2 linked regions of the Schizosaccharomyces pombe genome follow. Changing the gene in region 2 together with the main gene of any one other region gives a genetic interaction. Each region holds a gene or a part of one and is shown on either strand. Other genes may lie near its edges.

What was found. A genetic interaction does not mean that the proteins touch.
Region 1: of puc1 (region 2) and cig2, changing one enhances a phenotype caused by changing the other (phenotypic enhancement), as found in Schizosaccharomyces pombe (3 studies listed by BioGRID, with this or other methods).

Annotation. Positions count from the first base shown.
Region 1 is NC_003424.3:2,708,010-2,716,310, forward strand, and holds cig2 (G1/S-specific B-type cyclin Cig2), read left to right. Parts: upstream 1-1,772; 5' UTR 1,773-3,070; coding exon 3,071-4,306; 3' UTR 4,307-5,043; downstream 5,044-8,301. Other genes in the region: mitochondrial [2Fe-2S] cluster assembly and transfer glutaredoxin Grx5, read left to right, coding at 88-437, 770-860; P2 type calcium transporting P-type ATPase Pmc1, read right to left, coding at 5,044-8,301. UniProt on the Schizosaccharomyces pombe protein: Essential for the control of the cell cycle at the G2/M and G1/S (mitosis) transition. Interacts with the cdc2 protein kinase to form MPF. Interaction with res2 promotes the phosphorylation of res1 and inhibits MBF-dependent gene transcription.
Region 2 is NC_003423.3:3,698,283-3,705,715, reverse strand, and holds puc1 (G1 cyclin Puc1), read left to right. Parts: upstream 1-4,026; 5' UTR 4,027-5,063; coding exon 5,064-6,143; 3' UTR 6,144-6,518; downstream 6,519-7,433. Other genes in the region: U3 snoRNP protein Utp4, read left to right, coding at 1-1,974; SPOM_SPBP8B7.31 (acid phosphatase), read right to left, coding at 6,679-6,743, 6,797-6,916, 6,992-7,243, 7,302-7,383.

The DNA.
Region 1 (8,301 bases), on a different chromosome or scaffold from region 2:
TACACTTTTATCTGCGGCGAATCAATGAGTTGACATTCAAGCTCAAAATTGCCTTATTATAAACACTTTACAATATCCATATTCAAGATGAATTCGATGTTTAGATTTTGGATTCCTAAAACCAGTATATCCATGCAACTTCGCATGCTGTCCACACAAACTCGTCAAGCTCTTGAACAGGCCGTCAAAGAGGATCCTATCGTTTTATTCATGAAAGGTACACCTACCCGCCCAATGTGTGGATTTTCATTAAAGGCGATTCAAATTCTTTCATTAGAAAACGTTGCTTCCGATAAATTAGTTACGTACAACGTTTTGAGTAATGATGAGCTACGTGAAGGTATAAAGGAGTTCAGCGACTGGCCTACGATTCCTCAACTTTATATTAACGGAGAATTCGTGGGCGGTAGTGATATCTTGGCGTCCATGCATAAATCGTAAGTAATGTTTTAAACTGTATTTTTATTATTTGGTAGAGAGACGGTGAGGATTGAGGAGGTGTCATAGGAAATGTTAAAGATGATGAAGGAGGATTCTACAACTGTTTAATCACTCTAGTTGATATTAAAGATAAAAAAACCCTGTTATATTTTCGCTCTTTCTTCAAATGAACTTTCCCTTTTAAAGCATTGGATAAAAATCAACTATTAGTGTATCAGTGTCTTTAATTCGTCGTCTATATATGCCACATTGTTCTCTCCCTCATTTTTTCTCTCATATTTAATTATTTCTCCTTGTCAACATTTCTGTATTAACAATTTGTCTGTAGAGGAGAGCTTCACAAAATTCTAAAAGAAATAAATGCTTTGGCCCCTGAACAGCCAAAGGATAGTGAAGAGGAAACTACTAAAAAGGATTGAGTCCACATTGCAAATTAATTTGCACAACGTACCACGGTCTTGTGCATTTTTTAGTTTATTGGTCAACTTGACACCACAGGCCATGTATATCAATCAGACGTTATTCAATTATCTTTTTGCTGTACGCTTGATATTCTTTAATGAAGCTTTGAAATTCTGTTTCTCCTCTTTTTTGTGTTCATGCCCTTTCATGACAAAATGTTGGAAATAATGTAAAAGAGCTCTATAAGAAAAAATAATTTTTATCGGAAGTTATTTTTTGGATCAACCTCAATATCAATTTGAAAGCGATCATGTTCATGTTCATGTCCATCCAAATGACATAGAGAATGGAAATTAGTGTCGTGATTTATGCCTTATTGTTATTCCTTGACTTTTTTTTTAAAAAAAATGTCGTAAATTAGATTTAATGTTAAAGCGCTATTGCTGAATACTGTTTTATTTTGCTTATGTTGTTGCACAGAACAATGTCTTGGTAGGTGTAATTCACAGAAAGCATTACGATTGGTTATCTGATATGATTTAAAAATTCTTCTTTGATTATATAAAGTACTGGCTTATCGACGTTACGAGACGTTTACCAAACTTTTATTAACAGATGCTTGTGTTTCTTGACAAACAACATTATTCCTTCCAAGCTCAGCATATAGCGAATTATAGTGTAACTGCGATATAAAGTATTAGCGAACTCTCCCTTTTTAATTCTATTCAAATTGCGTTAGTTTGTGTAGCATGTAATGACGGCACGCGCATAGTGAATTGTAATATACAAAACGCTACACCAAAGCGCGCGCTCTAAAACACGCCAAAACGAGGTGCACGCAACTTAGCTTGCGCGAAAGCGCGTTTCTCGCGTCGCGTCGCGTTTACTTCTTTTATATGCTTGCTATGCCTGTCTTTTGCTTTTTCACTGACACTTTGACTTGTGTTGAGTTACAAGAAAGGCTTCAAAGGCACTTGTACAAGTGTAATTTCCCTTTTACAAGACTCTACCAAAGGTTGGATCCACCTTGAAGTCCTTCTCTTGTTGTCGCTGCTTTTTGCGTTTCTTCTTTTCTCTTTGAATATTCCTTCTTTCTAATTTCTTTTTTCAAATACATGCTATAGGGATCAGTTTAGGCTCCATATACTAGGTTGAGCTGGTTTTAACTGTAAACAATAGTAAATTAAGCTTTCAGTATTTTGAGTGTCAAGCTAGTTTTTACTCCGGAGTATCTTATTTCTACTGTACTTATTTTCTTTTAATTAATTTTTTACACTTTTCAGCTGCTAAGTGTCGGTTTCTATTGTGTACTTTACCGTTTTAAGTTTCTTTGTTTTCTTTGTTCTGGTTCGCTTATTGTCCTACTCTTTTACAGGAGGCGCTTGCCAAAGACAGTCATTTCTCTTATAACAAGTACACTATATCTTATTAAAACATAATTAATCGTCCCCTTTCGATATTAGTGCAACAATTGCTATCCTACAGTCTTCCCAATTGCAATTTATTTAGCCTTTCAGCATTGCTCTCGCCCTCAAGCTGAAAAGGTTTTACTCGCTTTTCTTGCTGGAAAAATAACACCTACATTTGTTATTCTTTTAAATTCGAACTATCAAACTTATTTGCTTGTATTGTTCGTCTTAGTGCTGCTTTTTCTGATCCATCGTTTGTTTATCAAACCTTCAACTTTGCTTTTTCTAAACTAATTACAAAGAAGTGTTCTTTTTAATTCTCTTCGTTAATCATTGTCCCTTTAAACTACGCTCTTGTGCTTTATAAGAGTTAATTCTGCATACCTCAAAGAGGTAAATTCATTTTCGAATCGAACGTTAAAAAATTTATCTTTACTTTTTTTTCTTTCTCAATTTTGATTACATCTGCTTGTTTTTTTTTTTCGTTTATATCCACAACAGTAGGTTGGTTTGGTTTGTTTACACAATTCATTTGTTTATGTTTGGACGATTTCTTTCCCTTTCTTCCTATCAACAACAATAGAATAATTCGGACCCATTGATTTATTCTCATTTAAAAGAGAAACTTTAAAAATTCGCTATAAGTGCTTTCTGTTTCTCGATCGCTCAATTTCCCTAATTTATCCATCTTGTCAATTGAGATTAATTTACCAAAAACAGTTTCCTTATTTTAATAAAAAGAAGACATTTTTGGTTACAAACAATCAGATATATTTCTATACGTTGATAAAAGGGTAATTTATCAATCCATATTTCATATGGCTCTCTATTCAATTTCAAAGCCTGTTGGTTCTAAAATCAATAAGCATAGTTATCAAGATGAAAACACACTTGTTGGCAAACAAGCTTTATCAAAAGGGACTGAGAAGACAAAATTATCTACAAATTTTGAAATTAATCTGCCACGTCGAACTGTCCTATCTGATGTTTCCAATGTAGGTAAAAATAATGCTGATGAGAAGGATACGAAAAAAGCGAAAAGATCGTTCGATGAATCTAATTTATCTACAAATGAAGAAGCTGATAAACCTGTCGAATCTAAATTCGTGAAAAAGTTGAAAGTTTATAGCAAAAATGCGGATCCATCTGTAGAAACTTTACAAAAGGACAGAGTCTCTAATGTTGATGATCATTTATCCTCCAATCCTTTGATGGCTGAGGAATACGCACCCGAAATATTTGAGTACATCAGAAAGCTGGATTTAAAGTGTCTTCCCAATCCAAAATATATGGACCAACAAAAAGAATTAACCTGGAAAATGAGGGAAATTTTGAATGAATGGTTGGTGGAAATACATTCCAACTTTTGTTTAATGCCCGAAACCCTTTATTTGGCAGTCAATATAATTGATCGATTCTTGTCGCGTCGTTCATGCTCTTTGTCTAAATTTCAATTAACAGGCATTACTGCTCTTCTCATCGCTAGCAAATATGAGGAGGTTATGTGTCCTTCGATACAAAACTTTGTTTACATGACTGATGGTGCTTTTACCGTAGAAGATGTCTGTGTCGCTGAACGTTATATGTTAAATGTTCTCAATTTTGACTTGTCCTATCCAAGTCCTTTAAATTTTCTTCGCAAAATATCTCAAGCAGAAGGTTATGATGCACAAACAAGGACATTGGGGAAATACCTAACAGAAATTTATCTGTTTGACCACGATTTATTACGATATCCTATGTCTAAAATTGCTGCTGCCGCAATGTATTTGAGCCGCCGATTATTGCGTCGCGGCCCATGGACGCCAAAGTTAGTTGAAAGCTCTGGTGGGTATGAAGAGCATGAATTAAAGGAGATAGCGTATATTATGCTTCATTATCATAACAAGCCTCTAGAACACAAAGCCTTTTTCCAAAAATACTCCTCAAAAAGGTTCCTGAAGGCTAGTATTTTTGTTCATCAACTCGTCCGTCAACGATACTCAGTCAATCGTACGGACGATGATGACCTTCAATCAGAACCGTCTTCTTCTTTAACAAATGATGGTCACTAACGAACGCTCTTATAAATTTTCTTACGCAAATATTCTGTTGAATATGAGGTTGAGCTCTTCTTTTATTATTTATTATCATAACTTATTTACTTTTTAAAGAGCTTCTTTTTCTTCTTCTCTTTCTTTGAATCTTATCATCTTTATGCAAGGACTGTTTTCAAGTATGTCATCAAGCCTTTCCTCCTTGATAACTAAGTCCTTAATTATATACCATATACCCAAGTTTTATCCAAGAGTTTTAGAATTGAAAATTTTGTAGTCTACTAAACAAACCGTGTTGATGCTTAATCCTCACACATTGTCTTTTAGATGATTCCGTTGATTCTAGAGTATTCGATAATTTCATTCCTTACTTTATGTTACGTTTACATTTTTTATTTCAAAATACGTGTACGTTGTTTCCTCATATTTCTGTTAAACAACATGTTTCTAATTAATGGAGTTTTCTTTATTCATTCATAAAACTTAAAGCTCAAGCGGTATATAACAAACTGGCTAAACCATTAATAGGCAAAAACCAAGTAACTCATAAAGATAAACAAAGAAAGTAGACATAAGGAAAAAGGTAAAGCTGACTCGTTTTCTATACAAAAAGGGAATTTTTAAACCTAAGAAACAAACTTTTAATTGATAACAAATATAGAAAAAGAAGGCGATTTCCAACGAGAATAAGGAAATAAAAAAGAAAAATTCGATAATAGAATCACTGTTATTCTGTCTCATACATTCGTCTTAAATTAATGAACATTTGAGCTTTTTTTATCGAGAGCTTGGCGATTGTGAGAAATCCAAATGTCATGCCCACCTAATCGTCCGCTGGCTTCACTAACAAGTGTTGAGATAGGAATCATTAAAGCTACGCTAGTAGCTGAAGAAACAGAAGGTGAACGGATCTTCATAAATCTCTGTTTTACACGGGGACGAAGACGTTCAGGAAGCGCTTCCATCTGTTTATCAAATTTGGAGTTGTTGAGTAGGTGGCGTATCCTTCCTCCTCTAATGCGTTGAACGAAGCCAAGGGAATGACGAATAGAGTCAATAACTTCGTTGGGAGATGTGGGTTCATACGGGATAAGACTAAGGGATTCAACATCATGATCGGTTGAACGGCGCTTAGAACGGAACCTAGGATTTAGAATCCAAGAGAAAACAGTGTCAATTGTCTTAACCGGAAGGACCTTTCTTAGGAAATTGTTTGGTACACAACGAATCAAGGCTCCAAGTGGGATAGAGATAACACCAAACACGATGGAAATCGCCCATCCTTTACCATCGATTCTTTTTACGGAGAATGCGGCACCTCCGAAAAAAACAATTATAACTTGGATACCAGCAACAATAACGAAAATAGCAATAAAGAGGAAGTTATGGTTAATACGTTCAAAAATATTGAGCTTGTTATCCAATCTCCGATTGTTAATTTCGTTAAACAGCTGGAGCCAGACAAAGGTATTGAAAACAATAGTATTCATGTCCGCAGTATTGGAAGGGTAATGGAAGATACTATTACCAGCAAAGTGTAGCACCAAAGTAACAGCAAGTTGGTACATAGATTGACAAATAATCATTTTCCACATGTCAAAAGTAAAAAGCGATGCACCTGGTTTCTCAGGTTTCCTCTTTAACACTTCAGGAGTAGGAGGGTCAGTGGCAAGTGCAAGAGCAGCAAGTGTATCCATAATTAAATTAACCCACAAAAGCTGAACAGCAGTTAAAACAGAGCTTTGGTCAGTCGAGGCAACAGCAGAGATAATAGTCAAGAAAACAGCCGTAATATTCACGGTAATTTGAAATTGCAGGAATTTTTTTACAGCGTCGTTAACGGTTCTTCCCCAAGCAATTGCTTTCACAATTGACGAGAAGTTGTCGTCCATAAGGATAATATCGGACGCCTCCTTGGCAACTTCGGTTCCCGATTTACCCATTGAAAAGCCGACGTTAGCTTTTTTTAGTGCAGGCGCATCATTGGTACCATCACCTGTAACCGCTACTACGTTACCAAGCTTCTGCAGTCCTTCAATCAATAACTGTTTGTCCAAAGGAGATGAGCGTGCAAGTACATCTAATTTGGGTAAGATTTCTAAGCGTTTCTCATCAGAAAGAGATCGAAATTCCGGTCCTTCCATGGATATTCCATCCTCTGTGTAAATTCCGCACTGCGAAGCAATAGCCTTAGCAGTAACAATATTATCACCAGTAACCATACGAACAGTCACCCCTGCACCTTGGCAAACCTTTACAGCCAAAGGTACATCTGGCCGAATAGGGTCCATGATACCGAAAAATCCTAAGAAAGTCATGTCTGTAAATGCGTCTTCCCATTTCAAAGGATTAGAACTATCCTCGTCATTGGTGGGAATATCTTTGGGAGGCCAAGAGTCAAACACACGATAGCATAAACCTAAAGTACGAAGAGATCTTTTGGCATATCCAGTGATCATTTCTTTAAAATAATCTGCATGAGAATGCATATCTTCAACTTCGTCAAGGGAGCCATTGGTAATAACTGATGTAGACTGTTGCAAAACTCTTTCCGGCATACCTTTTACTACAAAGTAATACTTGTCTTTGTATTCAAATATAGCACCAGATGCTTTGCGGTCAGAGGAAAATGAGAAGAATTGCTTGATATCAACGCTTGAACGCATGCTATCGACGTTTGTAAGTCCCAGCTCTTTGACTGACATATCAAGTAATGCTGTTTCTGTCTTAGAACCTATAAACCTTGGGGTGTCAGAATTATCCTCAAATAGCTGTCGACATGTCGAATTGACAGCAATACTGTAAAGAGTTAAGTCCCGAAGTTCTGGGGAAAGGCGCTTAAAGGCGAATGCGCTAGCACCAGCGTCTTCGAACTTTGAAGAATCGGAACCCTGATCAACGTTGGTAGGAGTTTCATCATTATGATCAAAAAACAACACATCTGTGCCAAATCCACCCGCAACAACAGTCATTCGATTTTGGGTTAACGTACCAGTTTTATCCGAGCAAATGTTAGTAGCTGTTCCCATCGTTTCACAAGCTTGTAAGTGACGGACCAAGTTATTATCTTTCTGCATGCGATTTGTAGCAAAAGCCAAAGCCAAGGTAACTGCCAAAGGAAGACCTTCGGGAACGGCGACGACTAACAAAGTAACTGAGACAATGAGAATTTGCAAAAACTCTTGACCCTTGTTCTTAGAAGAGGAGTCATTGGATTTTAAGCGAACCAAAAATTCAATAAGTAGGACGATAAACAATAAAGCAGATGCAGCACCACCGAGTTTTGCAATTGCATCAGCAACTCTTGAAAGACGAAGTTGCAATGGAGTGGCTTGCCCTTCTGTACGCATTGCCATGGTTGTACGCCCGTTAAATGAATTAACACCGACAGCAGTTACCAAAAGTTTACCATTGCCTTCTAAAATAGTAGTACCAGAAATCAAATATGGGTCGGCATTCTTTCGATATTCGACGTCCGGCGATGTTCTTTCAATGGCAGTATTGGCATCTACTTTCTTGATGTTGTCTGTTTCACCAGTCATCGCGGATTCATCAAGAACAAGATTATTCGATTCAATAAGCACACCATCCACAGGAACTACATCGCCGGCTTCAACAAACAAGACGTCGCCAACAACTAGATCAAAAACAGATGTAGAATGAACAGCACCATCTCGAAGAACCTGGACATCAAAATTGGAAACTTTCGCATTTAACTTCTTAAACTGAAGCTCTTTTTGCCAGTCATTCACACCACCCACGGTAACAACAATAACGATTGCAGCCATAATAGCCACGCCTTCCACCCATTCGACACGAGGTTCAGGTTTTCCAGTGATGGGATCAAGGGTGGGAGGCTGCCCGAACGTTTGATATAAACCTAATGCCAGCGAAACTACGGCAGCTATACTCAAAAGAATAAGAACCTTATCCTTAAAGGCTTCGAGCATAAGACGAATGAGGCCTTTAGAATCATGTTCTGGGAGCACATTTTTACCATAGTATTTGACTCT
Region 2 (7,433 bases):
GATTGGTGCTTAAAAACTGTGTTATACGGTGGTGTAGATCGCAGTATTGAAGGGATTGTTTGGAGTACCGGTGAAGAGGAGCTACGATTATTCAGTATAGGATTTTCAACTACTATTACTGAATGGAATTTACATACTGGAAAACCATTGGTAAACCAAGACTCTAATGCAGGAGCTATTTGGTCAATCGCTATATGCGATGAAACTAAAACTCTAGCTGTTGGATGTGATGATGGAAGTTGCGTTCTATTTGACATTAGTGGTGGCCCAGGTGTCATCGAATTTAAACGAGTTTTGATGCGCCAAACGTCTCGTATCCTTTCGCTCGACTTTCAAACAAAAGATCATCTTGTTGGTGGTTGCGCTGACGGTGTTATCAAAGTTTGGGATCTTAGCACTCCAAATTCCGCTATAATTTCTAGAATGCAAGTAGATCGTGCTCGAAAAGGAGAAGCTGCTTTAATTTGGGCCGTGAAAAGTTTACGGGATGGCACTATCGTAAGTGCCGATTCATCAGGTGCTGTTAAATTTTGGAATGGAAAATTCTTTACATTAAGCCAATCGTTCAAACTACATTTGGCTGATGCTTTGTGTTTGGGTGTTTCTGCTAACGGAGATATGGTATTTTCTTCAGGGATTGACAGGAAAACTATTCAGTACTCACGCGAAGGAGGTAAAAGAGAATGGGTCAGCAACAGTTTTAGAAGGTTCCATTCTCATGATGTTCGATGTATGGCCGTTTTTGAATGTAAAAGTTTGGATGTTCTTATTAGCGGTGGTATGGATATGATGCTTGCGGTAATTCCTGTTCGACAATTTAATCGCAAGAATCACAGGATGATATCTGCCGTTCCTCAACGCCCTCGCATGGCGGTCGCACCGAAAGCAAGGCTTTTTATGTTATGGAATGATCATGAAGTACTTCTCTGGAGAATTGGGTCTCCTGGCTATAGGTTTTTATTAAAAATTGTGTTGGCTGACGAAGAAAATATTTCACATGCAGCAATTTCTCCTGATGGGGAATTAATTGCAATTTCTTCCGTTTTGAGGACGAAGCTTTATCAATTACAGTATAGCGATGAAAATGTGAAAGTTGAAACAGTTGAGGACTCCTTCCTTTCAAATATTGGTGCTAGCCTGCTTAGTTTTACTGTAGATAAGAACAAGCTTATCCTTGTTAGTAACGATTCCGAGATATTTCTCATTGAATTAAGTCGACTGGATTCTCGTCAGCTAGAAGTTTTCGAGTTATCACAACCCACTAGCAAGAAAATTGCTCCTCGTCAGCGAAGCAATGTAAGCAGCATGTGTGATGGTATTTGCAGTATAGCGGTATCTTCGGATGGAGATTATTTTGCTGTTGCGGACACAGTTGGAAATATTTTCTGCTACTCCTTGTCAAATTTAACATATTCAGAGTTACCACGAGTTAACACTTATGTTCGTGCAATGGCTTTTCGTCCAGATGTACGAGGCCGTTTAGCTGTTGCTACGGCGGGAAATCAAGTTTATGAGTTTGATGTTCAATCCCGTAAATTATCTGAATGGTCAAAAAACAATTCTACAAATATGCCCAAAGAATTTTCGCAACTTCTAGATAAGGCATTCGGAGCATTTTTCGACTCTAAACATCCGAGTCGATTCTGGATTTGGTCAGCCAACTGGGTTTCATTTTTCGATCTTAATCTTCAATTACCAGCGCCTCGCGCTGCCGGAAAACGTAAAATTGAAATGAATGCAACAGTTGACGGGAATCTGAATGACAAAAAATTGGCGAATGCTAATTCGAACGGCATTTCAAATTATGGAACAGGGGATTCTAGGTGTTTCTGGATTACTCACAAATATCGACCAATGCTACTTGTAGGCTCTGTAGGAAACTCTGAATTGCTGGTAGTCGAACGACCAATCGCCGATATGTTGATGAGTAAATCAATGCCAGCAAGCTTTTATGAGCACAAATTTGGCTCGTAAATATGTATTATGTATGAAGATGGAGGAGTTTCTTCGTACTAAAAAAAACGAAGAGGTTTTAATATGTCATTTTACGTAAAAAAAATGTCTGGAATAGGGTGGTATTATTATGATTTTGTACAAAAAGGTCTTTTATTATAGGAGTTTATTTTATTTTTATTTTTTCCGATAAAAAGCATAGATTAGTTGCTAGTTAGTTTATCAATAAAACATTTCAAGGTGACACACCCATCCACAATATGATTATGGCAATGTAGCTGTGAATTTCCAAAGTCTGAGTTGTTTATTCCCATTATCGATTGGAGCATTATGCCTGTAATATGGTTTCACTTGATTCTAGGCAGATAGGCGTACAATTTTACGAACCCAAATTTTTTGATTAATAGACTTAACACGGCGAACTAAAATTTAACCGAACGCTATTTTTGTTACACCACATAATTAGAAAATTACTCGCATGAGGATAATTAAAAATACTCTGGTAAAATTAAAATTATTGTAGAAGACAGCTTGTATTTAAAGAGTAGCAATTACCATCTACAACTTATAAAGAAAACATATTCAAAGTAACAGAATCTTACAAAGGATATATATGCAAATGAAACGAAGAAAGCTCATACATGAACCCGTCTACGTTTCTAAACTTGATTACATTTGATATATTCAAAATAAAATAAAGAAGTGAAATAAGTGATTGACGTAAAAAATTATTTTCTTGCCGATGAGATTATACATTCGTTTGTTTATTGAAATTTGTTCACAACTTAGATAAATCTGTTTAGTAGTACCAGTTTTATGTACCCCCATTTAGTTACTACGATCCCACTTAAAATGTAATACAAACTGTCAGTACTAACCAGAAGAAGGACAATAGTACTAACGACTTAGACCCCCCACTTTGGTACAAAAACACCACCTGAATCAACAGCATGTAAAGTAGAAGTCATAGATTAGAAGCATGAGAACATTTCGTAGTGAAAATAAAACATTGCGTTGAGAAGCAATCTCGTTCAACTACCAAACATTTTTTTCCATTGAATAGAATAATGTTATGACCTTTAAGCCAAGCAATGCGTTTTTCAACGTTTTGGTTCTGTTATTTTCTATCCTACTTTTATCCGCACCACCAGGTGGAATTATCTGTGAAACTAGACGGCTCATAAATATCGTTATGTCACTGATTGCGAATCTATTTATCCATGCTAGTTATTCATGTTCATTCCCCACATTCTCCTCAAAAATTAATTATTTCATCGGAAATTAACTGACTTAAGTCTTGACTATTATTTACAATTTGTTTAATCCATATACTAAGTGATAAACATTTACACACAGTAATTGGGCTGCTTATTTCCTTCTGCTATGTAAAATAAAGATTGCGGTATATGCTATTGTGAAGAAAATCGATATTATTAATGTTAATCTATCTAGCTGTAGTTATAGCTGGATTGCACCAGCCATTTTGTTAATAACGTGATTTTCATAAAAAAAAAGCTGTAGATGATCGAACGGGTCAATATTTACATTCTTGAATAATTGATTTACCTCTGCTTCTTGTCCCCACTTTTTCTTACTTGCGTGCGCAATGTTAGCAGTACGTACATTTCACGATTTGGCCAATATGATTTACAGCAAGTAACTTATCAATTAACCGCTTTTGAAAATCAAAATTTTGTACTAGTTTCTTTGTTCAAGTTCTTTGATAGATGGCGTGCTATGAATGGAATAGTTTTGGGCTACGTCGTCACTTACATGATGTGCTTGACCCATTGAATTAATTGTGTGTTAGTACTTTACGCTTTCAGTACACATCGTTGGTATGGTAAATTTGTGAATCGGCCATACCAAGATGGAGATCACTTGAGGCTTAATTAATTCAAATCCGAAAATTCCGGTTGTTGTTACTAACAGTAGCTAGTTACGTTGCAGAAATTACGAGTTAGAATGGACATTGTACATTCACAATGTAAGGATACCGATTCGCGATATTGTCACTACACTATAAGATTTATCCTTATAAAGATATCGATTGCCCACCGTTTATAACCTTCCATAATTTATCTCTTTACCAGTTCCGCCTTGTTTTTTGTTACATTCTCTTTTCTTACCACACCATAATTGCTTTTGGTATACAAGCGACAACTTTATTTATTGCTTGGTACGAATCGTTCACAAATTCGATCTCTTAGTCGTATCCGTTTATCATTTTTTATAAAATAGTAGCTGACGGAACTGAATTGTTTTCTTTAAAAGAGTCTGTACCACTTACTTTTCTCCAGCTTTTGGTGTTCTTTTATAATTTCTGTCCTATCAAGGTTGCGGTAAATTAAATTGACTGCACTGTAAATGAATTCGAAAGTTTGAACAGCGTAACCAAATTTTGTTTTTCTTTTGCAATACATCGTTTGGTTTAATTGAAATTTATTTCCTTATTTTTGCTGCATATGGACATATTTTACTAAATATCTTTCTCTTCCTTTTATTTTTTTTTATTTTTTTTTTCTTTTTGGAATTAACCTTGTGTTTCTTTGTAATATTTTCATTAGTATGAATGCATTGTCTGCTTCTGAAATCCGTTAATCAAACTAAATAACTATTCACCGAACCTTTTTGGAAACATATATTTATCGCATCTAATTTCTTCCGCTTCATTTTGCATTCTTTTAATATTTATATAGCCTTTTTTCACTATATATTATTGGGTTCTTTCGTCTTGGCTTTTTACAAGTCCTTTGCAATTTACTCTTTCGATTCCTTTATATTACCCCTTCCATTATTGATATCTCTTTAGCGTCCTTGAAAACCCAGTAATTTTTCCCTTTTTTTTAATCGTCACCTCACTCTTTTTTTTTCTTCCTTTTTAAATCGTCCCTTAATTTTCCGCCGTTGTATCGCTTTCAGTTAGTTAAACACTATTCGCTTTGACCACTACCTCTTAACAAGCAATCTGAGCCTGTTTATGTCCAATTATTTTTTCTTCAGTATCATTTTTTTAATAATTCACTGAACTTTGAGCTGCAACTTCATCGACTGTGAAGAGCTTTTCTACTCTTTCCTTCTCATTATTTTCAAATACCTGTCTACCCAGTATGTTAGTTTCTTCCAATGAGGAACAACTTACTGCTCATACTCCCACTTCATCTTCAAGTATAGAACCTAAAATATTAGCTGCCTGTTCATATTCTCTATCAGTGGGCCCTTGCTCTTTAGCTGTTTCACCAAAAGGCGTTAATTCCAAATCTCCCTCTCTTAAAAATGAGACTGCATTTGTTGTCGACTCTGTTAGCACATTGTCAGCGGAATCTAGCGCCTTACTTTATAACACTCAATCCTCTTTACTCACTGGTTTATCAATGAACGGGTATTTAGGTGAGTACCAGGAAGACATTATCCATCATCTGATTACTAGAGAGAAAAATTTTTTGCTGAATGTCCATCTTTCTAATCAGCAACCGGAACTCAGATGGTCAATGCGACCTGCACTCGTTAATTTTATTGTAGAAATACATAATGGATTCGACTTGTCTATTGATACTCTTCCGCTTAGTATTTCCCTCATGGATTCATATGTCTCGAGGAGAGTGGTATACTGCAAACACATTCAGTTAGTAGCATGTGTTTGTCTTTGGATTGCCAGTAAATTTCATGAAACAGAAGACCGTGTTCCATTATTGCAAGAACTGAAGTTAGCTTGTAAAAACATCTATGCTGAGGATTTATTTATTCGTATGGAACGCCACATACTTGATACTCTTGATTGGGATATCTCAATCCCTACACCAGCTTCGTATATTCCTGTTTTAGACCCGATTTTTTTCTTAGTACTTGATGCATCAATGTTTGTACCTAATTTATTCAAATTTCCCGCTTCCAAAATCGCATGTTCAGTTATGAACATCGTAAACGAACATGTCGGATCGTTTCTTTTGACACACCCTTCTATGGAATCCTATCGCAAAGATGATAACTTTTTGTGGCCTGAAGACTTGGATACCGTAACATCATATATGGAAAACATGTCAAAGAGGTATGCTAATGAGGAATGTACTGATTTACTGTTTTCCTCACTAGGCCGTATTTCTAGTATTTTAGCAAAGAAATATCCGGAACAATGCGCAATGGCTGCCTGGTGCAACATGACTGAAAAGGATACTGAGCGTACTTTGTAACTTTAACATTGCTTCTTCTTCGATTTATATATATTGCAATGCTTCTAGACAAACATGTAATGGAGATATAATTTCAAAATTATATATTTACTTGAGAAAAGTAAGTGTATAGTGATGTAATTTTTTTTAAGAATTTTTATAAAATTCATTATATTAATCAATTAAACTACTCTGTTATGTTCTTTGTTTTCCTAAACCGGTTTGCAACTATGCTCATATGACATTATACCGTTTGTATATATTTTTGTTATTTATTTATATGATACTTACTTAGTTTGCAAAAAGAAAAGAGAAAGTTCATAAGAAACCCCATATTACAGATTGAAGCAATTTAGGTCTTTAATAGATTTAATTTCTAAATTTGATTCTTCACCCATTAAAAGTAGTATCAGTGTTTCCCAATTTTAACAATGATACTGTGATTAAACAAAATACATCTCAATTCGAATAGAGACTTCTAAATATAAGTTAAAGCACGATAGTTGTTTTCTTAAGATGCAAGCAAAATTGATTAACTTTTCTTTCAAAAGAAAAATTAACCATGCATATGATTTTTTAGAAATGAAAGAATATTTAGTGAGTTTTTTTTAATTTTCTCCACTTGTTTATACCTTGCTCAAAGGACGCACGATTAAGGCCATCAGGAACTAAACAGAATGTAACACCAAGTCTTTCAACCTCTCTGTTCCTAGACTCATCATCAAAAAACACCATTTCTCGATAGTCAATTCCAGATTCGTTGTGGATCTCTTTGAAGTGATCCATTTTACTACCTATTTCACAATAACTAGTTAGCAATATGATTATTGATATTTTCTGTATTGACAAAAATGTATTAAAAGACATACCTGGCCAAGCTTTTACATAAGTGAAAAATTCGATAGCCGGCTTAAGACTTCCATCTATTGGTACCTTCATCAAATTCAATGCTTGTTTCGCATACTTGGGAGCACAAGTACGGCTAGCAACGCACAAAGTAACTTTTTGGTTCCTTAGCTCTTGTAAAATTCCAGTTATATCTGAGTAAAAACAAATCTCTGTGCCATATTTGTCAATCAAAACGCCTGGGTCATTTTTGGAAGGCTTAAATGGTGCAGTGACTGTGAAACTTTGTTAGAAAATAAAACATAAAGTAGATCAAAGTAAAAGATTTAATACCATGGGTATCTATCCAAAGAGGCCACAGAGTGTAGTCTAAGTCAAAAACAACGCATTTTGGGAATTCGATATTTTTTACCATATTTGCTTGATATTTTATGGTATTGGTTATTAGGTTCGTAAACAACAAGA